2 linked regions of the Arabidopsis thaliana genome follow. The protein of the gene in region 2 interacts with the protein of the main gene of each other region in a biochemical or structural test. Each region holds a gene or a part of one and is shown on either strand. Other genes may lie near its edges.

Region 1 (15,497 bases), on a different chromosome or scaffold from region 2:
TCTGAAAAAGAAAGTAATAAAAATGAAAAAGTTGAAAGATAGTAATCCACCAAACCTGACAAGTCAGATCTCCATTGCAGACTACAGACATGCTTCACAACAGAAGATAATAGCTATTAAGTACATGCATGTTCTGTAGTAAGTACCTGAACTCCTTGCTTAGCTTTATTCTCCAACAAGTTATCAAGTCTGGATGAAGTATGCGGGTCAAAAGGACGCCTAAGATAGAGTTCTGGGCACACCCACCAGCCACAGATGAAAATCTATAAGGCAAATCAGATCAGTTGAAAATATATAACATTCAACACATCATCAGTCTCCACACCCAGTAATGAAAAGTGGTAGACCTCAGATTTAGCATTTTCAATCGCTGCAGCAATGGCTGCAAAAGCTGCTCCACCATCTACAAACCACTGGGCTTGACTTCCGTCATCCGTCAAACCCCTCGGCGGAGCATATGAGCCAAAGCGATGGGGATGGCACCAACCCTCAGGAGGTCTAAGAGCAGCATCGTTAATAGAAGCCACCCAATCTTTAACTTTTGCACTATTCTTTGCCCTTATTCTTATACTCCGGTTTCCAGATGTTACCTGGGATATTTTAACAAAAGTTATATACATGGATTATCCATAGCTTTCTTGACATATAACCCCAGAAATATTTGTGCAGCAGAAGAGGGGCAAGAAAAATGAGGATGATTCAACTTTTAGCTAATAAAAGAAGGATTCAGTAGGCTCCCATTTTAATTTACAACAAAAGGAATATTCTAATTTTCTTGGTTATCAGTTCTCCACGGCGCATTAGTGTCCATGCGTAATAGAAATAAAATTCGGATATATAACTTGGACAATTTATTTTAATTTCTCTAAGAAGCAATGAAGCATAAAAGAACAACATCGTAGATTATCAAACAAGGAGGATTGTATAAAAAGATGATCAAGAAAGCTTATTTAGATGGAGTAAGCACACATATAATTGATTAAAAGATAAGTAGGACAGTAATTGCTGACCTTGAATGCATGCCGCAAAGGATTATGATCCTTCAGTTCTACTGCTAGTGATATATCCACACCATCATTTCCATTAGAAACTGGTAGGACATCAAAAACAATTATATCTAATAGCTTCGCATCAAATGGATCTTCCAATAAGGCGAGAAAACCTGGCTTTAGTACCCCCCACACCTGTACTGGAGAAAAAGAAACCTTAGATACCATCTTGTCGTCACATTAATTTAGAATGTCTGATCAGAAGCAAAGACAGAAGTTATAAAAGGAGACAACAGTATTCGATGGCACATACATTGAAGAACATATGGATCTAAAGTAGAGTTAGAAAAACAATTTACTTCATCAACTTAATATCTCCCAACGGTGGTGAAGCATTCAGATAAGTTTGTTTCAGAACACCTCTCCAGTGAGAGTAGTAACAAAAAAAAATCATTACAAAAGAACTACTAAAGATGAATTTTGTTTCTTCTGATACATAAGCTATTCATGGCATTCAACGAGTTCAGAGACAAAGCAAGAGTAGGAGAGCGGACAAGAATAACAAAAGAACACATAAACAAAGCATACACGTCATCCCAGAGTTAACTCCAGAGGTAAACCAATTTTTCATAGCAAAATACATAGTACGCGAGTATGAGCAAGAAAATGAGAATTTTCATACCTTTTGCCAATTATCGTTGCAGCAACAGAACCAACAGCACCCACAACATCTATTAGAATCATCATCACTCTTTGAAAACTTCGGTAGATGTTTTACCATGATATAGTCTTCTTTCAATTTGGGCCCATACTCTGGTGAGAATGACAACATCGAAACCTCCAAAAACCTGCAAACCTATATTAGGCATTTAGCATTTAACTATGCATGCATATAGCCTCGGAAATGGAATGACGATCAATGTGTACAGGAATACAAGTTTGAAAAGCATGGAAATTTTCGCATAGTCACTTGCTGTACTAAGATTTCTAGCTAGAATAGAAGAGAAAACAACCCTTGACATAACTAGGTATTAACAATTTTAAAGTAGTTGAACAACCAAGTGAAATAGATTTTACAAATATACCTCCCGTGAATTGACGATATCAAGATTCCCCAGAAAATGATTCAGATATTCTTGCATTGCATGCTTTCCTCTAACTGATATGGACTGCTGTCTTCCCAAAGGACGAATGACTGGCAAAGCAGCGCTCGAAGGAACATCTCTGAACAAAACAGTCTACTTGTCAGAAAATGATGGCATCTGTTGGAAGAGTATAGACTCACATCAGCAACTTATCCAAGCAAAAAAAAATGCCAGCAAGTGTGACCTATTTTTGGCACTTTCATCTTGATGTAGCGGAACTTCATCAGCATCTTCATCTTGCACAACGGGTGGATGATCCCCTATTCCTAGATTTTGAAGCCATTCTTTAACCTTTAATGTGATATTCGAAAGAAAACCACATCAAACTCAATTCAACAGACCAAGGAAAAACCTTTAAAATATTCACTCAAAGGGAATCACAAACTAGTAGAAGAAAATTCCTTGATATATCAAGTCACCACAAACCTGTTCCTGCTTCTCGTGAATTTCTTCAATAAAAGCACGTTTCTTCAATGCAAAATGCAAATAAAAGACTTGAGATGCTTTCTTCACAAGCTGCCACTTGAACTGTTACATAAAAGCGCTAAAGTTAGGACTCAAGTATTCAAAAGTCGAAAGCTCCACTATAATAAGCAGCCTTTCCACTAAACTAAGGTGAAACATATAAATATTGATAAATATGTCTCTGTTCCGGGCTTCCAAAGGACATATAACATCGATCAGTGGTATCAGATTCAAGCTAGGTATCCAAAAGAACTACTTCGATCAATAGTCAGACATGACAATTTACAGTTGATACCCATCTCCTCTTAAGTGATTCTGATCCAAGCATCTATTATGCGACGATATTAGTAAGACCTACTAAAGAGAAGAGATGGACTCGCCTGCTTGTATTGGCACTCAATGGTGTAAGACAAGAGTACAGGGCTAATATCGCCGGCATCAGGGCGAGAGACAGAGACGATCACTGCTTTTGGTAATTCTTCAAAAATACGATTAGTCTCCTGCGTAGGAGCCGGCGCGAAAGAGAAGAGCGAAGAGACCATCGAAGGAAATTGCTCAGGCTGCATCTGAAAGTAGCGTCCACCACCACTGGCGGGAGACATCAACTGCTCAGATGCCATTTCTCTGATCTCTTCAAACCTCCAATTACCCAATTCGATCGCTCAATTCAAGATCTAGCAAACAAAAAATCTCCAATTCTCCCGTCGCGTTGATCCTGAGTTTGATCCTTTTCGTTATGCTTATACTCCCCCCCGGGAATTCCGATGAGAAACCGATCAATCTGAAGACCAAATCGTAGGAAGATCGATCCAGAGCGAAAATGGATTACAAAGGAAGACAAATCTGAGGGAAAATTCAAAAGTCGGGGAGAGAGAGAGAGAGAGAGGAATACACACGGTGTTGGTTTTTGATATACAGGTGCACGAAGAAAGCAAAGTGAACAACATGAACTATGTCTACGTCTACGTCGACTTTGACCTCTCTCTCCCGGTTTACTCCGATACCGGATCCGGCTATATATTATTTTCTTAACATTTATTAATCAAATCAGTGATCTTATACTATGTAGAAAACATAATCAAATTATCTTATTATATAGCTTTGTTTGAGATCATCTAAAATTTTATTAAGAAATTTTGATATAGATATTTATGAATCAAATCTCAAATCAATGGTTAGCTACTGTGTTTATTTTTTTGGCCACCAATCTTACCCCACGTATTCATAGAATCAAAGCTATACAAGATTAATTATTGGGGGAAAACAAAAAGCTTACCCCACCTTTATTCAATAAAAATCTTTTGAATTTAATACATTCTACACCTTGTTTTGAATTACATGTAGACAGTTCATTAGAAATCATTTTTGTTGTTGTCAAAACCAATACTAAACTCTCAAGTTAATCAAATTGGGATTTACATATTTGTTAAATACATGGTTGAACAAGTAACTCCAAAATTGGGAAGTGTGATACTACTCAACTTCTTTGATGTTTTAAGACAATGGAATCAGAAACTATTGAAAGAGAAAAGGTAAAGAGAAACAAAACTGAGAAATTCATAATAAGCAATGAGATCCATAACATAAGAAATATTTTTGAAGAAAAGAATCTCCGACAAAATCATATAAAAGATAAAAAAAAGACGCTTCTTCTACAGGTAAACTCAAAGATTCAATTGCAAAAAAGTTCAACACCAAATCACTTCTTCGACTTCTTCTTGGTTACCCTGAAAACACAACAAAATCCCAACATAAATCTAAGAAACTTCAATCCCCAAAACCGGACAAAGGAAAGAGACAAAGAACAAAGTTTCTTACTCTGGTTGTTGAGGTGCGCCAGCAGGAGTCGTTGTCTCTCCACCTCCAGGTCCCTAAAATTGCCAACAGTATTATTAATGAGGGAACGCCAAAACTAAAATGACAGAGAGCCATAAATGGCCTGTAAATTTCTTCTCACCTGAGCTAATCTCTCCTCTCTTCTGGCAAACTTTCTCTCCCTGCTAGCCTTGTTCTTAATACGCTTGGCCTCAAACTGGTCAGCGAGAGTCTTCTCTCTAGCCTTCTCAGCCTTCATCTTGTGGATGCTCTCCATAAGCACACGCTTGTTCTTGAAAACATTACCCTTCACTTTCATGTACATGTCATGGTACATGTGCCTATCAATCTTCTTTGACTCACGGTACTTGCTCAAGAAACGCCTCAACACCCTCATTCTCCTCATCCAAAGAATCTTGGTTGGTAGCCTTGCCTCTCTTGTACCCTTTCTCTTACCTAAAAAACATTGAAGTGATACAAAAGACAATGTTCACTAAACCAGCAATAATCAAAAGGAATTTCAAGCAGGAAAAGCTCATTTGGCCTTTTACCGTATCCAGAGTGACGACCCTTTCGCTTGGCCTCGTTCAAAGCCCTAGCCCGAGAACGTGAGTGGATCTTAGTAGGCTTCCTGATAATGAAACCATCCTTCACAAGCTTCCTAATGTTCTGCCCTGTTTCACATAATCCAATAATGTATTAAGAATAATATCAACACCACTGTTAGACAAATGCATGAATCTAGATGGCTACTCTATGCTTGTAAACAGATAGACACCATCTGAAAACTTAATTTCTTATAGAGAAATTACAAAATCCATTCCCATACAGTTTCTACGAAGCTTAAGGAATAATCTTACTACTACATAAGGCCTCAACACTTAGAAATGCATTCATACATATGACTCAGTACTTAACCTAGTTCAGAAAATGATCTATACGTTTCTAATCACTCCCTAAAACAGAGTTTCTGTAAAACACAATCTATAAAACAAATAGAGATAAAGTGATTGGTGGGAGATTAAAAATTGAAAGCTTACTGGAATTGGCCATAGAGATATCGCCCGATTCATTGGGGTCGAGCCAAACTTTTCCTTTCCCGCATTTCATTACGGATGCGGCGAGCCGCTTCTGGATCTTCAGCGACACCATTGCTTCACGCCGTCTTCCTTCTCCTCTCCGCCTCTCTCCGTTTAGGGCTTTTTTGTTAAGGCAAAAAAAAATGACCTACTTATAAATCGAAGACATATCAATTCTTTAGGGTTTTTGGGTCTAATTTCAGTTCCACTCCAATTTCGTTAAGACCCACTTACACAGAAATGTTTTGATAATTCGACCCGTTCGCTTTATAAATGGGCCTACTTTGGCCCATTATTGTTTCATTTATGAAAACTGATGAATAACAATAACGTTTGCATTGACAATGAAAAAATATATATACAATACGCACACGGATTACATTATTTGATTGCAAGTCAAATAAATGCGAATCATTTTGGATAATTCCAAGTGGGGGATCGAAAAGAATAAAGTTTGGGGATGCTTGAGAAAAGTAACCACACAGAGATGGTATACTGTCGGCTACGATTTCTTGACGACATAACATAACACAACGAATTTCTTGCATAAGAGTTTGTTTTAATTAAAATTCAAACATAATGTCATGCTCGAATTTCTATGCAAGAGAACTAACTTAAGTTCACTTACTCTATTTGAATAACGTCACTATGCCATCACCTTTTCCATATATTGAATTTGGGTAAACCGTAAACGATCAGCCTGAATGCATGATAAATGATTAAATGTTACGAAGTAGATATATATAAGCATCTGGTTTCATAATATTGAAGGTTGATTATATATTTATATATATAGATTGAGCGAACAAGTTATATTAGTTAGTATTAACCACAATTCTTTTGAAGTATATCTGATTGTCAACTCATTGTCGTAACCGTGAATATCATGATTCGATTAGTATTGTGTTTACTATTTATAACATGAAGTAAACACAAATTTTAGAAACCAATCGAGATTTATTAGGCTATCTTATCTACATATGTATCGAAGAGTCTAAGACACGCATCATTATATGATTTTGGTTATCACATCGAAAAGATGCCGCTTAGTTATTAGTTTATTACTAATTAAATTACTAATGATTCTCTAAAACGTCAAAGAAATAGACAATATCGCGAAACAAATAGATTCTGTCAATCTTCAAAACATTTTATGGACCCACTTCAAATCTTATTATACCAAGTTACCAACTAGGCTTTAGAGGTTCATGCATCAAAGTCTTAAGTCTCAACACATCAACATCTTCTTATCTTCTATTTAATCACATGCATGTATTAATACTATACGTAAGACGAAATTTGGGAAACGATAGGGATAAGGATAATACTAGTTCACAGTTGAAAGGTACGTACAATATTTGCAATCAAAAATAATTAAATGGCATGGTAGAAAGAGTAAGTTTAAAGAAATAAAAACAAATATGGTAGAAAGAGTAATTTAAACAATTAAAATCCTTCAATTATAAATTTGTATTTTATTGTTTAGGTTACGGTATAAAGTAAAATACAATGAATAATTTTTTTTTAATAGATTATTAGTTTATGAAATATTTGTAACTTACATCTAAAATACTAAATCCAAATTTGATCTCACTTGTAAGTTTTTTTCTTTCTTCCGAATGTTAATTTGTAAGTTGTTGCCATTGTTTTTGTTCTTCATTAATCTTGAAACTGTTAAAATCAAGATATCTCACAATTCCAATTCTCGATAGAGCAAACGGATCAGACCTTTTCCATAAATATTACATGTAAAGTAGTGAAAAAGATGTATGTACTCACTACTCATAAATCATCATACGTATAACCCTTTTCATAGACATACGAGAATTATACGTATAAGAATTGAGAAAGGCTGCAAATTCTTCTGTGTATTCCCACTATACTGGTACCATCACCTTTTTCCATAAAAACCACTATTTGTTAATTTTTGTCAATAAAAACCCTAGAATTATTCCACCTAACCTAATAATAACAAGTTAGGAACCCCTGTTTGATATACAAACTAATTCCCATTAGTTTCAGGAATCAGGACTACCACAAAACAGTTAAGAAGTTATAAGTACTTCGTCTTACATTACAAATCTTATTTACACATGTAAGTTTTTCCATCTAAGAAACTAATAATACCACAAACCGTAATATAACGTCCATTTGGTCACATTCTACACATTACACAACAGACATCATCAGCAGTCCAATGCGACGGTAAAAACCTTTTAAAAGTAACGGCGGTTACATATATATTACAGACTTTATTTAACTTTTTTTAAACTTATTTTTTTTCTTTTACTCATACGACGCAATGACATCATCAAGCATCCACATATCCACCTCGGAAACGGACTCATCAAGCTGACTCGGTTGCTCCGCCGTGTTACCGTCCAGCTCAAGGAACGATTCCAAGCTCGATATCTGCTGTTTCAGATCATAATCCGGCTCAAATCCGTAACTCAGGTTCTGAAACTCGTCCCCATTTCCAAATCCTATACACTCCACCGGGAAACTCGGCTGACTTAACTCGCTCTCACTCTGAGAGACAACGCAGACCTTCTTCGCCGGAGGCTGATCGGTTGATCGTGGCGATGACGGCGGAGGAGTATAATTAGGAGGAGGAGGATGGTGCAGATCTGGGAAGTTGAGCTTGGCTTTATCACCACGGATCTGCTTGGCCGCAACATCATAAGCCATGGCAGCTTCCTCCGCCGTGTTGAACGTACCAAGCCAAACTCTAACACCTTTTCGTGGATCTCGAATCTCAGCCGCCCATTTTCCCCATGGACGCTTACGTATCCCTCTATAAACATTCTTCCTCTTCCTCCGTTTCCCCGGCTCTGTTGCCTGCTCCTTCTTCACTGCCTCCTCTTTCACGTTAACTTCAAAATTTTCACCGGATTCCCCAAAGTTCAAAATTTACAATTTTAACCCCACACAGATAATTAAATAATCCTGATAAATTACATTACCAAAACCACAAATATTTTTTTTTTATCATCTTCCGTAAGTTCCAGAAATATTATTTTACCTTTTTGCTAAAAAGGTTAGAAAAAACTATATGTTTGTGTTTTTGAATGATTTTGTATTTTTGTTTATGATTAATAGGAGAGTACATACCTTGGTTGGTGGGATGGAGTTTGGAGGTGGAATAGAAACCCCAGAAGTCGTCGGCGGCGGAAGCATCGAGCTCTGACCAGAGTTCCTCAGCCGTGAGTTTACGGCCCTTGGCCTTGGTGACGAGAGGGGCATAATCGGAAATAATAGCACCGCCACACATTTTCTCTGTTTGTTGCTGTGGGTTTCTTTCAAGAGAAAGTTTCCTACGGTGGAGCTGAAATGCCTTTATAGGCGCAAAATAAATGTTTTATGGTAATAAAGTGTGAGTGAAATGAATTACTTTATATTAGAATAATAATTCTAATAGTTTTATGTTCCTTGATACATGACGGTTACAACAAATTGAAGGCTAATCCACATAACGACAAAATTGTAAGCCTTTTTTTGGCTCTCTGAATACAAAACGTATCACAATGTGATTAGTTTAGTTTTCGGTATTGAAGTGTTGTGTCCACGAGCGTCTGGTAATTTAATAGTATGCGTTATGCGTCTCACGTCCATCACGCAGGCAGCGTCTCAAAGTAAGGTTCATCTTTGCGAGTTACGATGCGAAATTTACGGTCATCTTTGGCATTTCATATGACATCGATGATCAAACATTTCATGATAAACTCAAAAAAAATTAGTGTGTAAGAAAATCAACAACATATAAATGCACCATCCAAAAAAATACACTCATGACCCACTTACTACAAGAAGCTGCCGCATTATAGACGAACCAATAAATCTCAGAAAAAAAATACACACACGCATGGTCCATGGATGAGAGAGGAAACGGTATTGAGCAAAGCAATGTGAAGGATTATAGATATTTGAGGGTTTTTTGTTTTTTTTCTTTGAGTAGTATCCGTATATATGAAGGATCAACCAGCCATTTTGGTTAGGCGGTGAACAGTACTTCTAGCGATTCTATTCCCGGGATCAATCTTTAGAACCATCCTTAGGTCTTCAGCTCCGAGTTTGTATTTCTCCATGCTCTCGTATAACAGTGCTCGTTGAACCAGAATGGTCACATTCTTCTTGTCGTGATCAAGTACCTGCAATCACGTTTTCAAAGTGAACAAAAAACATCTGTGAAGCATAACTGACAATCAGAACAAGTTTCGAAGATGTTGGTTTTGTTCTGAGTCTACAAGAAACCATCTATGGAGCATAACAACCAATCAACTAGCTACGATGACGCGATCCCAAGAACTGTTTAGTTGTGGTATATTTTCCTACAAAGCAAGACACTAAAACTTTCTATACGTGCACAGTATTTCTAACTCGTAATCTATCTTAAGATTCCATAAGAACCTAAATCTCATATTGTCAAGTTTCATATACCTGAAAACTCTTATCAGTATCAATTTCATCAAGAGTCCTTAAACTGATTCCAATACAACTAGAGACTTCGTAAACTAAGGATCTGAGATGAGAATGATATGAACCATGGTCCATGATGCATCCAAAGAAAAATGTGCCTTTCTTAACATACCTTTGTGCAGTCGGCTACAGCTTTCTTATACTCTCCAACTTCTTTGTAACACGAAGCCCTTGTTGAAAGAACCTCGGCTGATCCAGCTTCATCACCAGCTCTATCCATAAGAATCACAGCCCAAGAGAGCCACTTTATGGCATCAGCATACTGACCTTGTCTCTGGTTATCAATGCCCTTGTTCTTAGCTGATGTAGCTGATACACCCGGTGGAGGCGGTGGCAAACCATCAAGCTCGGTGGTGGAACCAGCCCCACCGTCAAAACTTTCAAATCCCCAATCTTCGGTCTGTGGCGTAGGTGGTGCAGCTGAGGGTTTGGAATTAGAGAACATTCCTAATGGATCATCGTTTGCACTCGAAGATTGTGGACCACTTGGTTGCACACCAAAATCAACGTTTGAAGCATTGAAGCTACCTCCTGATGAGAATGTGTTTGATTTCGAAGCCTGGAAACCCCCAAAGTCGTTGATTTGAGTAGTTGTTCCCGTAGAACCGCCACTGTTAAGGTTCGACACTCCTTGAAAATTCCCAAAAGTATCATTCTGTGCATTGTTGTTAACCTTTCCTGGTTTGCTTCCTGATGATTTTGATCCGAAACCAACCAAAGAACCAAATGGATCACTATTCGAAGGAAGACCAGACCCATTTAGATTGCCCCCAGCCATATTTTTCATTGAAGGACCTCCAAGATTAGCATTAAAACCACCGGAGCTCGTGTAACCACCAGAAAAACCACTCGGATTACTGCTATAACCCATACCACCACCAGTTTTCATCGAATTACCAGATTTAGGCAACGAATCACCCAAATTCCCCATAGAATAAGGACTCTTACTCGAACCTGAAGCCGAAACAGGCGGTGCATTCTTCAACGGCACGTTTCTACTAGATTTACCTTGACCTATCGCAGAACCAACCAAATCTCCAAACAAACTAGGATCCTTATTCACAATCCCAATACCCGAACCCGATCCCGAAGCTGACCCCCACGTCTTACCATGAATATCACCCACCATTGAAGTCGGTCCACTTCCGATCTCAGATCGGATCGTACTCTGCTTCGGTGCAGGTTGATGCGTCCACGACGGCTTACCAGGCTGCCACGCAGGTCTCGGCTGCGAATTCGAGCTCGAATAAGAAGATGTTTGGCTCTTCTGACCATTCAGAGGTCTACCTTGGCTCGATCCAAGCCCCAGATCGAAATCAAAGCTATTGGTCGATCCGGATGATCTCTTCCCGAAGTTGGAATTCATGATTTTATCCTCAGAACTTTCAGATTTAACAAGAGCAAAATTGATTCCAGAAGATGATGAAAACGGAAGATCAAAATGAGAATTGCTCGATGGATTAGATGATACTAGAGGAATAGAGCTTGATCCGTCGTCAAGAACCGACCGTGAGAGATTCTTCGAATCCACAAGCGATCTAGAGATTTCTCCTTTAGCGTTGTTGTCCAGACTCCAGAGCCAACGAAGGGGAGAAAACAAAATGGAACTTCACAAAAATGCCCCTCTTTTTTAAGTTTTCATTCAATTCATCCCCAAATTTTACCATTACATTTTTTTTTGTGCGCATTTAGTGAATTGTTTTGCAAAAAGAAAGTTATTGTAGTAAAATTTTAATTGGTATTTTTTTTTTTAAAGCTTTTGTTTGTATATACAAAAGAGAAAGTACGAATAAAAAAATTTCATTGATTTGTATATAAAAAGATAAAGTAGTTTAAAATATGGGTAAAATATAATATATGAAGCTGATGTGAAACAGGGTTTAATTAGACTCGGTTTGAATTTAATGAGTAAACCGGAAATTGAGCTGGTTAAGGGTTAATTGGAGAAAACCAAAACACAAGGGCGACGGCGTCGTTTATGTCTTCTTCTTCTTCAATATCAAGTTATCGAGATGTTTAGTTGAAGCTGAAGCAGCTGGGTTCAGAGAAGAGAAGAAATCTTATCCGAGAGTTAGTTAGTTATTCCAACCGTTTGTAACTGAAATCAATTTAGAGTCGTCGAGTGTTAAACCTCTATATATAAAGCGCCTGTGTGAGAAATGGGATTAAGAGTTAACTATTTCCTTTGGTATTCTTGGGTTACAGATACAGTAGAGAGGAATTTAGTTTCTTTTCCGTTTCTTCTTTTCTCATATCGATTCACAGAGAGATTGAGAGAGGAGAGAGTATTCAATTGACGATTTCATTCATTGAATCGAGGTTCTAATCGGTTAGAATCTAAAATCGGCGACGGAATTGCAGAAGTTACAGATCCATGGGGTTCAGCGATTAAGTCCCTCGTGTTTGCTTCAAGGTAACTTGTGTATTTGCTATGCTGTGTGTAGATATCCTCAAGTTTCGGGTGAATCAATTTCTACGATCATTAACGCTGTTTTCTTCGGGCTTGTGCAGAGTTTGGCGGGTTCAGGGCTCGTATATAATCAGGTTTCGTGCTACGTCGGAATCATGGCTAATAATCTTCAGGACGTGATAGATGATCCAGGTTCTTCTTCCTTTTCTTCTTTCATTGTTTGACAAGTTGTGTGGAAATTATGCTGGATCTGTTCTTTTTCCCGTAATTTGATTTGTTTTACATCTCTGTAATTAGCTGATTGTTTAATGTGAGATCATTAAGCTTGAGGTCTGCGAATGTAAATATCTGAATAGCCTTACTATCTCTCTTTTCTCGCCAATTTCTTCAGATCTTGAGGATGTCTTGATACGCTCCAGAACAGAGTGGTTGGACCATGAGGATTTAAGGAACATACTCGGCAAACGTGAAGATTTACTTACCTCTACTGTACCCGTCCCATTCCCTGAAGAAGGGTTATTTCTTTTTGATGTTGATGAGCAAGATGTGCTAGATACTACAGTCTGGGACTTAACCAATTTTAACAAAATGCATGGAGACTTCGACATACGGTATAGAGTTGACCAGTGCTTTTTAGTTCCCATTAACGAGGGAGTCAGCAGCACCTATGAAAGACGAGTCTACAAATGTGAACAACTGTAAGTAATATCTTTTCTTTCTTTTCTTTTTTGTTTCATTAAATTGTTTTAGTGAACGTTTGTTGACTTACTTGTGTTAATGTAGCTATGGGACGTACCGGGTGGTACACTACAGACGCTATCATATGAGTGACGACAATGATTACGGTCACAACAGTGGTGAGGACACTGAAGACTCGCAAAATCTTGGCAACAGTGATAATGACTCTAGTGATGATGACGGCAGTAGTAATGATGATGACGGCAGTAGTGATGATGAGAGTCACAGTAGTGATGATGAATCTGCCGGAGATGATAATATAGAAGCTCATGCTAATGGTTTTTGACTTTTTGTGCATCCGGTATTCCAAAAGTGAAGGGAAAGATTCCATCTTGACCAACAGATTTTTTTCTTGCAAGTAAAGAGTTGAATTTGGAGATGTAAAAACTCTTTTCATTTTTACCAAGTTGGCTTTTTAATAATAACCCTTTCCAGGCCATGTCACACAAGGGTTATCTCCAAATTAATGTTCAAACATGTCATACCAGCAAAACACAAGTCCATCCCTCAGCTAAAGCAGACCTGATGATCTACGATGATGAGCTTTTCATGGTGAGACATGCAGAGGTAGAAACCAATTTCATTCCCCTATAATTTTGTGTTCAGGTCAGGTATGCTTAGCTCTGTCCTCTAACAAGTTATTAGTCTGGAAAAACTATGTGGCGGAACTTAGAGTTCTGGGCACAACAACTAGACAAAGATAAAAAATCTCCAAGACAAATCAGATACATAAGAAAAGAAAACAATTGAATCGATTGGTTGCCTCGTGGTGAAGCTTGCTAGATTTGCACTGAGCTTGGAACGTAAGAGCACACAAGTGAGGCACAACTTGAAACTGTAGATTCTCCAAGATCCACTTTTTCGAAGTACCCCTTCTTCCCAATGATGTAAGCTATGTTGCGAGTAAATTTATAACTGAACCTGTCTTTATCCAGAACCATGGCGACCTTTTTCTTCTCGTCAACAAAGAAACTTGCAGCGTTAATGTCAAACTGAAAACCAGTGAGTGATTTCATATCAACCGCTAAGAAAACCTTCCTCCACGACACTGCATTGGGCTCAATCTTGCGACTAATCCATATCTTCACGGTAGATGCACTACATGGCTGAAATAACACTGCAAGTTTCTTATCTCTAACACTGGATAGAGTCACAGTATCTTCAACAAAAGAGTGGAAAGGCAGAGGCAGGCGCGGTCCAAATCTCTCCCTTGTAAAATCAAAACAGAGTAAGAAATCAGCCATATCTGATATTGTTATCACTCTTCCGCGTGGTAATGGTGGAAGCTTCTCTTGAGCAAACCAGTAAGTATTCCCCTTGAGAGACAGGCCACGGTGATAAAACTCTACATCCCAGTCGGGAGTGACATTAACAACCTTCCATGAATCAGAGTTTAAGTCGTAGATTTCAAACTCACGAATTAGGCGCAGTGCCCTGTCATCCTCGTAATCATCCATAAATCTCAAGATTTTGTAGCAACGACACGACTTGTTCTTCTCTTCGTATCCTAAAGCGTACCTGTCCAATCTGTGGTAAGAATTTCTAGGTTTGATCCACCTTGTTTGCCCAGAATAAGGGTTCCAAACCACAAGCCTAGATATGTCTTTGGTGATACATAACAATAAACCGCCGCAGTGAAAGATTTTAGATATGTCGACATGATCTTCAACGTCTAGGCTAATAAGTTTACCTATACGCTCTATTGATGGATTAAGGAGGTTGACGCTGTATAAATAAACCCTAAATTGAATCATCATGATCACCTGAAACTCCTTCGTCTGCTTCTTCTTTGCTGCTGCTCTTGCTCCACGCAGGTGCTTCTTTGTAAAGCTCCGATCTTTCGATAAGGTGTTCCACTTTTTGCAAGTAAATCTCACTGCTCTCATAGATGTCACCGGAATCCTAGAGAGCACCTCCTCTGTCAAATCCCGTGGAAGATCGGAAATCTGAACCATAGTTTCGAATCGAATCTGTAATGGAATCAACCTTCCAAAGCTGTTTCCTTTTCCACCGATTGCTTCCCGACTGTGTTAATTTACTCCATCTGAAAAAGAAAAAATCTATCTGGCTTCATCATCATCAGGACGGATACTTCCGCATCCGACCAAAAGTACCCACATAAGTGGGGTTTGATTGGTAATAAGTTTTTGACTTATTAGTAATGGGTCCAAGGCCTGTTAAAGTCTCAATACAGCCCAAATTAATTAGGCCCAATAGTAACACTATTTGCATTTGATGAGAAGCGGGAAAATCTAGAGAAGTCAAAATAATTCGTATCTCTCTTTCCCAAAACTCTCAATCTCTCTCTCTCTCTCACAGTTCCTTTCTATCTTCACTAATCACTTGAAATCTTCGTGTTACATCGCACAATCCCTTCGTC
Region 2 (16,025 bases):
TAACATATTGCTAGCTCATGCCTCTGCTTCAAAGTTGTATAAACTAAAGTACAAGGTATATACACACATTTTTTGCTCTTAAAACCTGAACCTCGTATGATCGTAGTTCATTATGATGGTGCAGAGTAAGCAGAAAGGATCCATAGGGCTTAGTATATTTGCATTCGGGTTATCTCCATATACAAACTCCAAGGATGATGAAATCGCAACTCAAAGAGCTAAAACTTTCTTATATGGCTGGTGAGAAAAAAAACTTTCTTTCTATGTTTCAATAACTTGAGGAAAAAATCTGAAGATCACTATGAAAATTCAGGATGTTGAAGCCTTTGGTATTTGGAGACTATCCGGATGAAATGAAGAAAACTGTGGGATCGAGATTACCAGTTTTCTCAGAGGAAGAGTCAGAGCAAGTTAAAGGATCATCTGACTTTATAGGAATTATTCATTACACAACATTCTATGTCACAAACCACCAACCTTCAGCTTCTCTCTTTCCCAGCATGGGTGAAGGCTTCTTTAAAGACATGGGAGTATATATAATTCGTAAGATTAGTGTTTTTTTCATCATTAACCAGTATAAAAATGCTTCTGATGAACTCTTTTAACTAAGAATTCTTCTTCTTTGGATAGCCACTGGGAATTCTTCATTTCTTGTGGTAAGGTCATGCAAATCTGCATAGCACATTTATATTCTTGAATCTCGTGATTTTCCTAACTCAGTTGCTTTTTTTGAAGTGGGAGGCTACTCCATGGGGTCTTGAAGGTATTCTTGAGTATATAAAGCAGAGCTATAACAATCCTCCAGTCTATATTCTTGAAAATGGTACAACACTTCATTCTTTTTTGTTTTCTTACTCTGCTTTGTCTGCTTGAAAGCACACTTTCTTGTTCTTTAAGATTCTTCAACTTGCAATTATAATAAAATAAAATACAGGTATGCCGATGGTACGCGATTCGACACTACAAGACACACAAAGAATTGAATACATTCAAGCTTACATTGACGCTGTACTCAACGCAATGAAGTATGATTCTCCTTCTGCATCTTTTAGTCCCCATATTACTACTATATAAGGATTGATTGGTATAATTCCAGTATTACTTAACTCTCTCTCTCTGTTTGTGACTAATCAGGAATGGATCGGACACGAGAGGTTACTTTGTATGGTCGATGGTTGATGTGTATGAGATATTGAGTGGATATACGACCAGCTTCGGAATGTACCATGTGAATTTCAGCGATCCTGGTCGCAAGAGGACTCCAAAGCTCTCTGCTTCTTGGTACACTGGTTTCCTTAATGGTACAATTGATGTTGCTTCTCAAGATACTATTCAGTTGTGGAGCAACTTCTCTGTCTCTTCTTCATTGTAATGTATGTTTTAGCCAAAGGATCCTTGTTTGGTTGAGTTCATTTATACTGTGAAACATCTCGGTAACTTGGCAAATGGTTTGATAAGATTTGCATATAAAAATGATGTTACTTTTGAGACCAATAGTGTTCCATTGATTCTTGAAGATAGTAAAATAGATAATGACACTCGAACACAACCATAAAAGTCACAAAGACATTAACAACTTAAATTTCTAGTACATATATAAGAGTTACATTTGGAAATGTATATGTCAGTTGCATCACAAGGATTACACTTCGCCGAAAAATAAAAGAAGATATTTCGATAGTCTTCTTCACATGCATATTTGTCTCGTTTCGCGAGTGGAAGAAGAAGGATTATGTAAGAAAACGCCAACTTTGGAATACAATAATATTATTGTAAGAAAACGCCGTATGAATCCGAAACCTATAAACATCATAATTTGCCTAGAAATTTGTAACTTTTATCGTTGTTAGGTCAAACGTATAAAATGAGAATGATCATCCCATGCTTGAGTGGCGTGTTCAACTAGACCAAATTTTTTGTTAGAGCGGTGGAAACGCCTTTGTTTTTTAAAAAAAATTGGCTTCCCTATAAGCAACAGTACTGTATATTAGAGCTTCACTAGTGCAATATCTTTGTATATTCTTCGATGATCAGTGAACATACTACCAACGTCACGACCTTTTAAAACTTAATTATCAATTTTGGTTCACAAATAACAAAATTCGACTCTTTTTGTTGTTGTTTTTGATAAAAAAAATTGCAGACACACCAACTCCTAAATAGATTAATACCGTGTCCAAGCTGAACAAGAAATCCAAAACTTGAAAAAACTTCACTACACACTAGTCCCGGTCAATTTCATTTACCAAAGCTCATACGTTCTAAAGAAGACTATGGGTCGTAGATCGTAATAGTTAGTTTGGTTTAATGGAAAAAAGTCAATTCTTTTACTTTATTAGAGGTTTGGTTGAAATTTGTAACTGATTATTCTTTCAGTTTCAATTGATTATCATATATTTTACAATTTTTATACTTGCACAAAAGAAATTAATCGAAGATTTTTTTAAAAAAAATGATATTTCTTGGTCTCTTCAAATAAAGCAAGCCCTTGATTACGGTCAAACGGAGCACGTTACACATCATCAAGTCAATAATCTAATCAAATACATATATTCAACTCACAGTCCTGCTAATTAGGCCATGCATGGACTATAGATACATTATCTTACCTTTATGTGCATCTCTTATCAGGCCATGCATGGACTATAGATGCATTGAAGTATCTAAACTTGAATGGGGGCTCACAAGGATAACATGATCAGCCTAATATCTTCTAAATCTGTTTAATTTTACCGTCCTTTTTTCCATGATTAAATCATTTCACTATTCTCATACATATCTCATGCAACGACAAGAGCAGCCTTTTGACCTTTATCGTAGCACATTCCTCACTTTCACCCATTTTTGTTTAATGTATATCCATCAAATACAGCCTTGATACTCTCTTTTTGTATGAAAGGCTATTTCGTTTTCGTTGTTTTGAGATAAAGATGGACAATTAATCAGATTTACAGATAGCAAATAATGTGGACTAAACTAGATGAAAAAACTACTATATTACATTTTTGTTTTCAGTTTATATACTACTGCATGTATTACATCTTTAGGCATAACTACGGTCCACAACACACAGATTCGAGGATAAACCTACAACGACCCACCTCTGTTTATTTTAAGATAATTTATTTTTGTCGACGAAGAAGACTTCTTCAGGATTTATATACATTATTTATTGTTACCACTATCGCAGCTCTGATTATCATTGTTTTTTTCTTTATATAATAATAACAATAAATAATGGTATTATTTATAGGCAATAAAGGCTCGACATGAAATTTGAAAGGACCCAACGTTAGGAAAATCGTAATGTAGGACCACCCACCCACTTTGTTTATATTTTCTTCTCTTCTTTGGGATCACTCTCGTGAATAAGAAGCGCCACAAGGAGCGTTTTGTTCATTTTTCTCTTTCAGCTTCATAAAATACTACACACTTCCTCACATTATTCATCCTCTCTTTTCCCTTTTCTTGTGTTCATATAACTCAAACCAAAATATACCGTCTCTATCTATCTAAATCCCAACCCATTTCATATAACGTCAAAGAAAGTTTCTTATTCAGAAAAACAAGGCGATGGATTTTGAATTTGATGATCAAGAACGGTTTTGTGCGACTCCTAAGCTTCCTTTGTTCTCGATTCCATTTAACAGAGCATGTGACACTCCAGGGCTAGCGACGCCGCCTGTGAACATCGCTGGATCAGTACCTTTTCTATGGGAGGAAGCTCCGGGAAAACCTCGCGTCTCTGATGAGAACAAACCGCTGGCTTCCAAGCAGAACGAAAGAGAAGGAGGAGGAGGAGGAGTCGTGCGGTGCCTTGAGCTTCCGCCGAGGCTATTTTTTCCAGCCGATGATGAGCCATCTCCGACCACAGTTCTTGATGGGCCTTACGATGTACCTCGCCGGTCTTTATCAGTGATAAGGAGAAGCGAAAGAGCCTCTGAGGGTAGATTCGAGTTTTCACGTTCCACCAATAGCCGCTGCTGCGACGGTGGCGGCGGTACAACGGTGAAGATTAGTAGAGTTAGAAGAAAAGGAAGCCTCTTGAATCTCTCTCATTCCAAATCGCAATTCTTGGTAAGTTTTGAACACTCATCACCTTTTCTAACATCTTATTTTTAGCTGTCTAATTACACACTCTTACCGGGTAGTTTACTAGTAACTAGCAAGTTAATCGTATTCTTTTGTAGTCAAAGGTAGTCGATGATTCAGAATTGCAAACACTATAATTTTCGTTATCAAAAAAAGGAAAATACATTATTACGTTGTTCAAAGTACCAACCGTTTTATCAAAAATTTCAAACTTTATTCAATGATTTCTAACTCAAAACAAAACTTCAACATTTTTGGGATTTGAATAAATGTCCCTTTTGATTAAAAAGTTTAGGTTTTCCCTTCAAAAGTCTTTGGTTACTCTATATAGTATGGAGTGTTTTTTCAATATGCTTTGTTTTTTTCGGCTTGTGCATATGAATTCATTTTTAGGCTCATTTTGATTACATAATAATAAAATGCAGGCAAGGGTTTACCAAGGATTTAAGCAAGTGATCCCATGGAGGCGGAGACAAGAGAATCTTCCACGGATGAGTTCTTCCAATATTTAAATCAAATCTCTTCGATTTCTTTTATAAATCATTAAATCTTTAGTTAATTTTATAGACTAATATTAATATCCATCTGTATACATATTACCACATAATTTACAGACATGAGGAAAAGTTTATTCTTAACTTTTTACCAAATTAAACCCTGAAACTACACTGTTCCTCTAGATAAATAGGATTATTGTAATTATACTTGAAAAAGGTAAAAGAATAGGGAACATCTTAATTCTTAAATGAAGGAGGACAAGAGCATTATGCAAAACCAAAAATTTATTATACAAAACATAACTACATGACCTTTCTATTTGCAGTTGCTAGCGACAGCAATAATACTTTCCTGAAAAGGAAAGCTATAAAAGTTGATTGATCACGATTTGGGCCTAAGCCCAAAACTTATAAAGTGGACCGTTAAGTTAGTTAAGAAGCCCGCGTTGATTTCTCTTATCCTCAGATATTTTTTTACGAAAATCCACGGCCACTAACCGTAAAGGACACTCTTTTGATTTTTCTCTTCTTCTACTTAACTCGCTTTGCCTGACTCACTGAGTCATGGCGCTTCTGAGGCCGCATCTTCATCGCTTTCACTCCAACACTCTCCGCCACTCAGCCTATCCTTCCGCCGACGCTGGCGGTGGCCTTGTCGTCTATCCCACGTATGGTCGTCACCGTTGCTCCGCGATTGCGATCGACGCTCCGTCGTCTCTGACTGGCGTGACGCCGATTCGTTGGGGTTACACGAGTGTTCAAGGATTCCGAGATGAGATGGAAGACGACATCGTAATCCGTTCTGATGCTGTCGATAGCTTCTCCTACGCAGCGGTCTTCGACGGCCACGCTGGGTCGTCCTCTGTCAAATTCCTCAGGTAACTTGTGTTGCTTCTCATGCAAGCTCTGTCTTCTAGGGTTTAAGTGTTGACGATGGTGATGATGATTGATAGGGAAGAGCTGTATAAAGAGTGTGTTGGTGCATTGCAAGCTGGATCGTTGTTGAATGGAGGCGATTTCGCAGCAATCAAGGAAGCTTTGATTAAGGCCTTTGAAAGCGTTGACCGCAATTTGCTCAAATGGTGAAAATGAGCTTAAATTTCTCAGAGCTTGAATGAATTTTGATGATTTTGAGTGAAATGAAGTGATTCATCATGCGTTTGGATCCAGGCTAGAAGCTAACGGTGACGAAGAAGATGAATCAGGTTCAACAGCCACTGTAATGATCATCAGAAATGATGTTTCCTTCATTGCTCATATTGGTGATTCGTGTGCAGTAAGTCTTCTTATTTATAAATGGATCATTGTAACTTGGTCATGTCTAAAGTCTTGTTAATGCATTGAAATAGGTCTTATCTCGATCTGGGCAAATCGAGGAATTGACTGATTATCACCGTCCATATGGAAGCAGTAGAGCAGCTATTCAGGAAGTGAAAAGGGTCAAAGAAGCAGGTGGATGGGTGTGTCTTCTTATTTTCCATGTTTCAAATTCCTCAAGTATCATTGGATTTGCTTATCTATCTCTCCGAGAATTTGGCTTAAAACCGATTCATTGCTTTTTGTATAATCAGATTGTCAATGGAAGGATTTGTGGAGACATAGCTGTATCTCGTGCTTTTGGTGACATCCGGTTTAAGACAAAGAAGAATGAGTTGGGTTCTTTCTCTTCTCACAACGGCTCTTCTATTTTTATAATTGTTATCTCATTGCTCATAAGGGTTTCATACACAGTATGTTAAAGAAGGGTGTTGATGAAGGAAGATGGTCCGAGAAGTTTGTTTCCAGGTAACGAACTACTTGGAAGCTGTTTCTACTTTTGCTCGTCTCTCCTGTTATTCCATTTCAAGGATATCTGTTTCTCATGAGATAAATTCTCAGAATCGAGTTTAAAGGGGACATGGTTGTGGCGACTCCAGATATCTTCCAAGTACCTCTGACATCTGATGTGGAATTCATTATTTTAGCTTCTGATGGATTATGGGACTACATGAAGAGGTTTCCTTTTCTTTTTCCTCTTTCCCCCATTCAGTCATATGCTTTTTAATTGGGAAAAGTATAGAGCTTACAGTGATCAATGTTTTGCCAATACAGCTCAGATGTGGTTAGTTATGTTAGGGATCAGCTCCGGAAACATGGGAATGTGCAGGCAAGTTTTTATTTCATCTTCTTATCAAATTAGTTTCAATAATCATGTATGACTTTAAGGCTTAACTAGTTTCCTAACTGTCCATATGTAACAGCTTGCTTGTGAATCTCTTGCGCAAGTAGCTTTGGTAAAATAGCTAATACCCTCCTCAGCCTTTCTTTTGATTAGGAATCAAAACTTTCAAATGTACGATTTTGTTCCAACGTTACAGGACCGGCGATCTCAGGACAACATTAGCATCATTATTGCTGATCTAGGGTAGGGGTTCATCTAAACAAAAGTTCCACTGCTATATGAAACCTCTGTATACATTATCTATTAGCTATTCAATCTATATACTCTTAACGTGTTTTGGTTTCGATTTTTGCATAAACAGAAGAACAGAGTGGAAGAATCTCCCCGCGCAGCGACAAAACGTAGTGGTTGAACTGGTTCAGGCTGCAACGACTATCGGTTTAGTTACTGTTGGCATATGGATGTCTTCACATCTATCTTAAGTGAATTGAACATTCTATCTCTTTCGTTAGTGTATATAAAACCTGTAACTATGTCTAACACTCTAGTCTTCCCATAGAAATGGAGATATGAAGATACCTCACAAACAGAACCAGCTTTATATTATTATATATCCCACTTTCACAAGCGTTGAAACTACATTTACAAATAAATGCATCTTCCAACGACTAAGAGAAATTTTTTGAAAAGAAACGCATGGCTCATGCCACAGTTGGTGGTTCCAATTTTTAGCTACTTGATATTTTCTTTAGGCATCTATAATTCTTTTTGTTTTGTGACATTCTCTGGTTTATCATATCACAAAAAAAAAAAAAAAATCTTGACATTGTATTATATACATTGTGGACTCTTCAAAAGCCAACTATCAACGCAACCACGGTGGAATTTGTGCATGTAATCTCGTTGCCTAACAATCTAACATACCCATTCTAGACGAGATGAATTAAGAAGTCAATTGAACAAAAAAAAATTATGATTAAAATTTGAAGGAAAACAAATTCAAAAGTTAGAGTTCATCATGATCAAAATAGTCTTCGTCGTCCAAGTCTTCGTGATGAACTGCCTTGTAAAAGACATCTTCGTGGTGCAACATCTCTTCAAGAGATAGTTTACCATCTTTATCCTCATCCGCCTAACAAAATAATTAAAATTTATTGGACGTTGAAAGTCTAAGCATTATACATATACATCCACTATTAATGAGTTTCAAAGTTGTGAGAAAGAAAACTTAAGATTAAGATTTAGGTTGGGAGAGACTAACCTCGTGGCAAAGGAAAGTAGAATAGAATTTGGCATAACTCATCTCACCAGGTTGAAGATATTGCAAAATGGGTCGAAGCTCATCGGCCACGAGGAATCTGTCTTTGTCTCTGTCCATCTCTGCGAACAGAAGCTGAGGTGTTGGCACATTCTCATCCTCCTCTTTCTCGAACTTTGCGAATTCTTTATACATTTCATATGCATTTTTTACAAACTCTTTGTACTCTAGCTTCCCATCACCGTTCGTGTCCATGCCCCTATATATTATATATATCAAACAACATGTTGTTTCCTAGTTAAGCTTCATTTATGATCATATCGAAACACGATATATCACGAAATGCTTACGTCATTCGCTCCTTTAGAACCCATCTTTGTGTATCTCCGTTTCTGCTGTCTTCAGGGTGCAAGAAACTGCAAATCCCATATTTTCATTCATTTTTTATTTTCGGAAATTTTAAAAGTGATGAGATTTTTCAAGGCATATTAATTACTTGTTGAACTCCTCAATGTCGAGAGAGCCATTATGATCAAAATCAGAATTCTTGAATTGCTCCATCCACCAACCGGCTTCACCGTGACCCTTCTCGTTTTTCTCTGTTTCCATATTATCATTGTTTTTTCTTATTTGCATAATGAAGAAGAAAAATCTCGAAGGATCAAAGACAAGTTAATATATTACCAATGTCTTGTTTAGAGAATTGAGGCAAGTACTCTTCGAAAGTTATGACACCGTCCTTGTCCTTATCTTGTAGCTCAAGCTCTTTGGCGGTTCTGTAAACCATGTTGTCTTCTGTCTGTTGCATCATCCATGTCTGAAGCTCTTTCAAGCTCACAAAGCCATCTCTTGGAGACGCGTCAAGCAGAGGAAACAAGAACTTGATCCTCATTGTCGTGTTAAGCCTTCTCTCTTGTGCAAAATACTCCTCAAACATATCATCTTTCTCCTCTTTCGCAGCCTCCACGGTCTTCGTACCAGCTTCTTTCTCATGAGACAACCTCTCAATCCGGGTCACCAAAGGGTCAAACACCGGCATTTCAAGCCTCCGTCCGATGCGGCGGGTTATGAGACCCTCAATGGATTGAGTCTGGTTTTGTTTCTTATGAGCGAGGAGGATGAGGAAGATGATGGTGGCGGTTAGTATCGTGTAAACCACCACCTTGGCCATTTTCCGGTAGTCCAAGGTGGGGTAGGGAGAGAAGACGAAAGGGCCACGAAGATTGCTAATTCTGTTTTTGTATTTGCTTTATTGGGGGCTTTCCTTAAATCATTAAATTATGTTCTATCAACCGTTTTTGCCGCCAAAGTCGGTTATTTATTCGTTGAGGATCCAATGACTCTTCCTCTGTCTATATGTGTGTATTTATAGCAAACCAACAAAACCGGTTACGACATATCATAAAGCCTAAAGGAACAAAAGATTGTTAAAATGTAAGAAGAAAGAAATCAAAGAACAAGACTTGGTAACATCCAAGTGATATAGTGTTGGAACATCCCAGTGATGTGGTAGGGATGGAAAGAAAGTTTAAAGTAAAGAAAAGCTTCTTACTAAGTCATTTGATCATATACATTGCGGATTTAGAGAAGACGTGGTTAGTATTTGTTTAGTCTGCCTGCTTTGCAGAATCTCGGATCCAGGGCCAGTCTGATTCACAGAGATCAAGGGGAGAGTTTCCATCCTCATCTTTAGCGGCTGTGTTTGCGTTCTGTTTAACCAGAAACTCGGCGATAGCTTCTCTGTCGCATACAACAGCATAATGCAAAGGGGTTTGGCCTTCGTTGTCCTGTTCAACACAAGAACCAAAAACACATAAATAAAGAAGTTGCTAACTTTGCAGATAATGACTGGGTAGGAATTTCTCTTTCGTCACCTTAGCATTCACATCGGCGTTCTTATCGACCAGAACTTTGGCGATGTTGAGGTGGCCACGGTCTATAGCCCAGTGCAATGGTGTGCGACCTTCACTGTCTGCAGTTTATGGGAAAATTAGAATGCAGATCCAACATCACGAGAATGAACTTCCAAGAAACGGAATATACAAGCAGAGACTAACCCCTTGCATTTACAGGAATGCCGCTTTCAATGCTTTTCAGTAAATTCTCGACTTCTCCTTCTCTAGCAAATCCGTGTATGGCATCAATCTTCCTGAGAGATAAAACAAAAGTTCAATGAGCAGAGGATTAGTGTTTCATTCAGATAGACAGGAAGAAACGAACAGCTCAAAGTTCCATGAGACAATTGTAGCCATTTCACCATCAAAATTTGCTACAGCTAGAACGAGACAGTAATGTTACATATTCACCGAGTTTATGAGCCTCTTTCACAAATCAGGATACTTATATCTAATCTAGACATGAACGCAAGGATCAGGATATAAAACACATGAGAATACAAGAAGAGAACCTTACAACTCATTTTCGGACTCCTCATCATAAACCAAAGAGCTAAAAACTGGTCCCATGGTTCCTCTTGAGTTGGAGGCTGCATCATCCCCACCCCGACTTCCGGCTTTCTGTTAGTGAAGCTCACATGAACAGGCCAGAGGAAGAAACCGAAGCAATCAAACAAAGAAAAGGGGAAAAAGCTTTATACCACGCCACCGTCTAACCAAGTTGGGTAAAGCTGAGTGACAATCTCAATATACTTCTCCATCGCCTCTTCAGGTGGCATAGCTCCCAGTTTCTGCCATGCTTGCCTGAGATAGAACAAGATCATGGCACATCCCAATCAATGAAATTGCAATCTTACAACAAACCACAATTCCATATACAATCAACTGTTACAACAGTAAAAACCACATCATCGTCCAGCAGTTGCATAAGCTAAGAAGCAAACTAGGTGATTGTCTATGAAGAACCTAAAACCTCAAAAATTTCCACCTCAAATCAAATCTCAAACAGTTGAACAAAAACACCAGAAAATGATACATAGAAGTTAATGGCACAGCAGATTCAACGAAAGAGAGAGATACCACTTGGCACGAGCAGTCATTTTGAGAGCTGATGGCTGAGGAGCAGTACACGGCCCTTCCGTAGCAATCTTATACAATCCGTAAAGCTGCTGCTGCACATCACTCGGTACCTTCTGCGAAAGCCGATCTGCGGCGGCGGTAGTCACAAAAAGAGTGGCGGCGCTAAAAGCCTCATCGAGTTCCGTGCTCTCGACGCCTTCCCAATCATCATCTTCCTCACTGTCGTCACCGGCAACGCTATCACTTCGGGAGCTACCCTGCTCCGCCACAAGCGAATCCGCCTCACCACCGAAACCACCGCAAGAGGAATCGAGACGTCGCGAGTCAACTCCTTCCGGTTTAATTTCCAATTGAGACTCCTCTGGGTGACGAGTAAGAGAGAGATTGTCTTCTTTAAACGTGACGACGATCGAGATCAGCTTAGCGAGAAGGTAAGAGAAAATCAAACCTAGGATCACAGACTGAGCAAGTTGAGCCCAATCACCCATTATTTCTAAAAACGAAATCAAATTCTCAAAAACGAAAAACCAACGCCGATAATTAAAACCCTAGAGAAATTTCAACACAGAGTCTCACGAGGAGGATGAAGAAGAAGAAGGAAGCCAAGGGATCTGGAGAGACAAAAAGGAACAAACTTGTGTTGTTTTCCACCGATTCAGTCACCAAACAAAAAGAGAAGTTCCTTTTCGTTGTGGGCGTTAAGACTTTTTAATGAATTGGATCAAAGTTTAAAAGACGACACATAAAAAAACTTGGCGACGAGTGACGACAGATCACATATGGGTCTAATTGGGGAAGAAGTCGACGTGTTGTACCCTAATCTTTTTTGCTCCTTTTACCAACAAAATTAAATAAATATTTCACAATAACACGTAAAAAAGTTAATGAATTCAATAACAATGTCAAATTTTGTGGTGGAATCGTGGTCGAAAACAAATCTAGAAGACGTGCATGGTGTTGGGATGATTAAAGGCTTGACTCATACGACACGTAAATTGACATGTATCCATAAGAGAAAATAAGGTAGACCACAAACTTGAAGGCATTAGATTCACGTGAAGTGGGCACGAAAATGAAATCCCAACTTTTTTTCTTATAACAAAAGATAAAACTCATACATGATATTAAATAGTCCCACTTCCAAACATTGCTTGCTCAAATGAGCATCTCATGAAGAGAAAACCCAACCCACCCATACGAGTGAGTGAATCATTTTTACATGGAATACTCATTTAAGCAAGAAACATTAGAAAGTGGAAAGGAGAGTTTATCACTTTTGTGACTTTGTCACCATGAGAGTAAGAGAGATGATGACTCTAATTGATATATATCCCTATAACTATATATGAGCAACGTGACTCCACAAACAATAAAGAAAATTACGAAAATACCCTAAACTCAAACAAGAAACTACCCACCAACCCAGGCTACCATACTCTACTACTGAACATCTTAATAACTCCAAGACACACTAACCAAATACTTGAACAAGACTTGTAAGTAAAAGCAATGGAATGGTAGCTAAAGCTTGACTTTTATCCAACAATCAAACATTCTCAAGCAAACTACATGCCTGGGGGATTCATTCCCCACTGTATCGTGTAGATTAATACAAGGAAACAAAAAAAAAAGATATTTTCTCAATTACCTACCCTTTGATCTGTAATGGGTCACTTAACCTGTGGTAATTTTGAAAGACTATTCGTGTTGTGCTCCATACCGGCATTGGATATTTTCCCCTTCTATGAGCTTCTCAACTGCATCGAGAGGAAGACCCACCAGCTCTAACGTCTTTTTCCACACTCTCTGTGCAGTTTCTGTGTTGTGTGCTTCTTCGGAAGGATTTGCAGGGCGGCAATCTTGAGAGATGAATGGGCAAACAGGCCAATCATCGTTTTTTAGTGTTTCCCAGTACTCTGGAATCTGAGGATCTGTGGCCGAGAATAGAGAACTTCTACAACCTTCTTGGGGTGAAAATATGAAATAAGGTATCACTGCGTAAAGAGCTTGAAGAATCCTGGATAGATCCCTGGCCTGTAAATTTCGGAAAGAAATAGGCAGTTCAACGCAATGAATTTCTGAGAAAACAGAGGAATCCTGCACTTGTAACGAAATGAAGTGAAGCTAATACTCACAACATTTGTTAGGACAACACCAGGGGATAGACATACGACGCTGACTCCTGTTTCCAGAGGAAGCTTTTTGAAAAGAATGCTACTAAACATAATCTGGAAGATGGAAGATCAGAGAGCGAGACTTAACTCACCAGTTTCTGAAAATAAGCCTCTTTCAGAAAATGGAAACTACGGCAGATGAAAACTACGGCAGATGTCATTACTGTAAGCTCACCTGGGCAAGCTTGCTGCTTGAGTATCCTATAAGGCTTGAGTACTTACGTCTACCAGAAACAACATTCATGTCATCCGGGTCAACAAAACCGACACTATGCATCTACAAAAGTGAATCCCACAACCCATTATCTTGCATGAAAAAGTAATAATCAAAGACAATAAATATAAACTGTTTCAGTTTTCATAAACAGCCAGGCACAGAATTCTTCTGAAATGAGTAATGACATAGTGCAGTCATGGAAGCGTATTTGGGGTTGAAACTTTCAACAAGCTATGGTTGTATCGTTTCTCTATACCAAGACTGTGTTAATACAATATGCATATGTAGTTCAGTGATTTAGAGAGATCTATATCAGTTATCTACATATTCTGCAACCAATTGACAAGACCAGAGGTTTTCAAGTTACAGAATACACAAACAAATCAACCTGTCAACATGATTACTCATACCAAAGAGAATATAAACTAGAGAATACAGACTTGGAGCCTGCAGTATCAGTGATCATAGAGAACTTACAACGGAATTCACATTAATGATTCGGCTAGGAGAGCCTCGGATCAGAGACGGCAAAAGAAGTACTGAAAGCAGCGCTGGAGCTAAATGATTCACTTGCATGTGCTGCTCATATCCTTCCTCTGAGAATTTTTGCGCCTCTGCACAAATCAGAGAACAGAGCATTTTAAGGTTACTTTTCCTCAACACATACTGCAGAAAATGTAGCATCTGACAACCAATCATTTAAAAAGGAGACCCATTGGACAGAGTTGCTATGAAAGAACATGCCAGTTCTCACCAATTGGGTCCATCAAGTTGGAATGTTGATGATGATGATGATTGGTTCACAAGTATGACTTTGAGATCATAACAAAGAGATGATGAAAATAGATACAGGAAACAACAGAAGGGGAAACTCAATGCTTATAGCTAAAACGGCAATAAAACCAACCTCCCATAGCAAACATCCCAGCATTGTTAATCAGAACATGCAAAGGTCCTAACCGAGCGTTGAAAGCCTCAGCAAATCTCGCGACAGAATCCAGTGAGAGTAGATCAATCTCCATTGCCTTTACAAAATAAAACAGAGTATTATTATCAACTATCTAGACGTTACAAGCCAATAGTCTAACTCTCTAACTAATATACAAGAAATTGGCTTAGCCACAGTCTAGATAGTTCACATATTATTTGAAATTTCTATTGTACAAAACGCTTTATCTCATTCTTGGCTAATTTCAGTCCCAGTAATACACATTACTGAATTGTAATAAGTACATCACCATTATAAGGTTACCTCAATATTGAGTGGGAGACCTTTACCAGACCATTCGTTCTGCCATTGCAGTATCAGCTCCTGAGCCGCCTTTGTGTTCCTTACGGCCATCACAACATGAGCACCAGCTTCTGCAAGCTGCCTGCGACCGAAGAAGCAAAAGAGCTAAAAAGCTTAGGGAAGTTTTCAGTAATTCGAGTCCCAATCTAGACGAAATCAAACTCAATTTGGTTGTAAATCGGAAGAAACGGGGAAGAGAACAAACCTCGCGGTTTCACGGCCAATGCCGCTGGTGGAGCCAGTGACAACGCAAGTGAGGTCGTTGACGGAAGGAAGAGGAAGAGGATTCTCCAAATGAGAAGCTGTGATCCTCTGGAAGAGAATCTCCCCGAAAACACTGCTCCATCCCCTCATCCACTCCATCCATCCCAGATTCTGCTTCTTCTTCGCCGGAGCTGGGGACGGAGATGACGTCGTTTCGTCACTCATCTTCTTCTTCTTCCGGAGTTAGATCTATGACGTTGCACAGCAACAAAAAGACAAAAAGTGTATTTCGTCAATATCTATGGCTTCACAACCTCAACTCCTGGAAGCTCCGGATAATATATATAATGGGCCGGCGAGATTTTTGTGACCCACAAGTAGAAGATAAACAATTTCAATTGACCGGTCATGGACTCATGGGTCAACGATTACACATTGTTAATGTGTTTCATAAATATGTTTACAATGATTTCTATTTTGTAATTGTGAATGTCCTGACTAGTAGTGACTATGCAACCGGTCATAGCATTACTGATCTCGTAGACAAAAGAGTAATAGAGTCGCTCCAAACTTAAGCAAAATGAAAGGAAGAAATGACACTGAGTTATTTGACTACATTCAAGGAAAAAAGTGAGACAAAATCAATCCTGAAATGTAGAATTTGTCCTACTCTTTGATTTTGTGTTCATATGACAAATCTAGTATGATGAATCCTTCTTGTTTTGGTGTCCAATGATTGTGGATTGTGGTTGATGTGTTATTCGAAAGTGGAACATCATTAAACAACTCTATTTTCATGAGTGTTGTTACATTGTTACACATAATAATAACTTGGTATTATGTAAATAAGGAAAAAACAAAAGTAGTTTGACAGTTAGTACAAGTCAAGAGACTCGAGCACTCTACCAGCCTGGATATGAAGCGCCGTGATTCTTTGTTCAGGATCACCTGTTGAACCGAATTGACTCGCCGCCCATATTAAAGAAGCAGATTTTTCACCCAAGAGGCGCCTGATGTCTTCATTTACACTCGCTATTGGAGATCGATCCTTCCCATTTACGTGTCCAACTAACAGTAGTAAGAACTCTCCGCATCTTAACCTGTGAATCAGTAAGGAACTAAACATGACCAAAAGCCTAAACCACTACCATCGGTT

The links.
Region 1: the proteins of ACBP2 (region 2) and EBP form a complex in vitro, tested with the Arabidopsis thaliana proteins (one study listed by BioGRID).

The regions. Positions count from the first base shown.
Region 1 is NC_003074.8:5,699,051-5,714,547, reverse strand, and holds EBP (ethylene-responsive element binding protein), read right to left. Parts: upstream 9,008-15,497; 5' UTR 8,765-9,007; coding exon 8,605-8,764; intron 8,367-8,604; coding exon 7,780-8,366; 3' UTR 7,464-7,779; downstream 1-7,463. Other genes in the region: PLDP1 (phospholipase D P1), read right to left, coding at 1-1, 147-263, 348-590, 1,011-1,184, 1,672-1,845, 2,075-2,213, 2,319-2,425, 2,561-2,662 and 1 more; AT3G16780 (Ribosomal protein L19e family protein), read right to left, coding at 4,299-4,326, 4,418-4,470, 4,557-4,870, 4,966-5,088, 5,455-5,566; AT3G16760 (Tetratricopeptide repeat (TPR)-like superfamily protein), read right to left, coding at 9,468-9,641, 10,082-11,335; AT3G16750 (uncharacterized protein), read left to right, coding at 12,535-12,571, 12,771-13,077, 13,163-13,403; AT3G16740 (F-box and associated interaction domains-containing protein), read right to left, coding at 13,897-15,072.
Region 2 is NC_003075.7:13,843,220-13,859,244, reverse strand, and holds ACBP2 (acyl-CoA binding protein 2), read right to left. Parts: upstream 11,697-16,025; 5' UTR 11,472-11,696; coding exon 10,984-11,471; intron 10,708-10,983; coding exon 10,605-10,707; intron 10,525-10,604; coding exon 10,421-10,524; intron 10,158-10,420; coding exon 10,066-10,157; coding exon of another isoform or gene 10,061-10,065; exon of another isoform or gene 9,981-10,060; coding exon 9,883-9,980; intron 9,796-9,882; coding exon 9,616-9,795; 3' UTR 9,311-9,615; downstream 1-9,310. Other genes in the region: BGLU9 (beta glucosidase 9), read left to right, coding at 1-55, 125-240, 314-543, 631-656, 736-823, 935-1,025, 1,135-1,372; AT4G27810 (uncharacterized protein), read left to right, coding at 3,574-4,077, 4,518-4,604; TAP38 (thylakoid-associated phosphatase 38), read left to right, coding at 5,154-5,467, 5,543-5,671, 5,760-5,865, 5,939-6,049, 6,161-6,240, 6,321-6,374, 6,468-6,584, 6,681-6,735 and 3 more; AT4G27790 (Calcium-binding EF hand family protein), read right to left, coding at 7,757-7,882, 8,012-8,267, 8,359-8,424, 8,505-8,607, 8,693-9,179; FEY (NAD(P)-binding Rossmann-fold superfamily protein), read right to left, coding at 12,682-13,017, 13,119-13,211, 13,333-13,434, 13,852-13,988, 14,282-14,399, 14,627-14,747, 14,871-15,094; ISI1 (binding protein), read right to left, coding at 15,744-15,969. UniProt on the Arabidopsis thaliana protein: Binds medium- and long-chain acyl-CoA esters with very high affinity. Can interact in vitro with palmitoyl-CoA, but not with oleoyl-CoA. Binds to lead ions (Pb). May function as an intracellular carrier of acyl-CoA esters.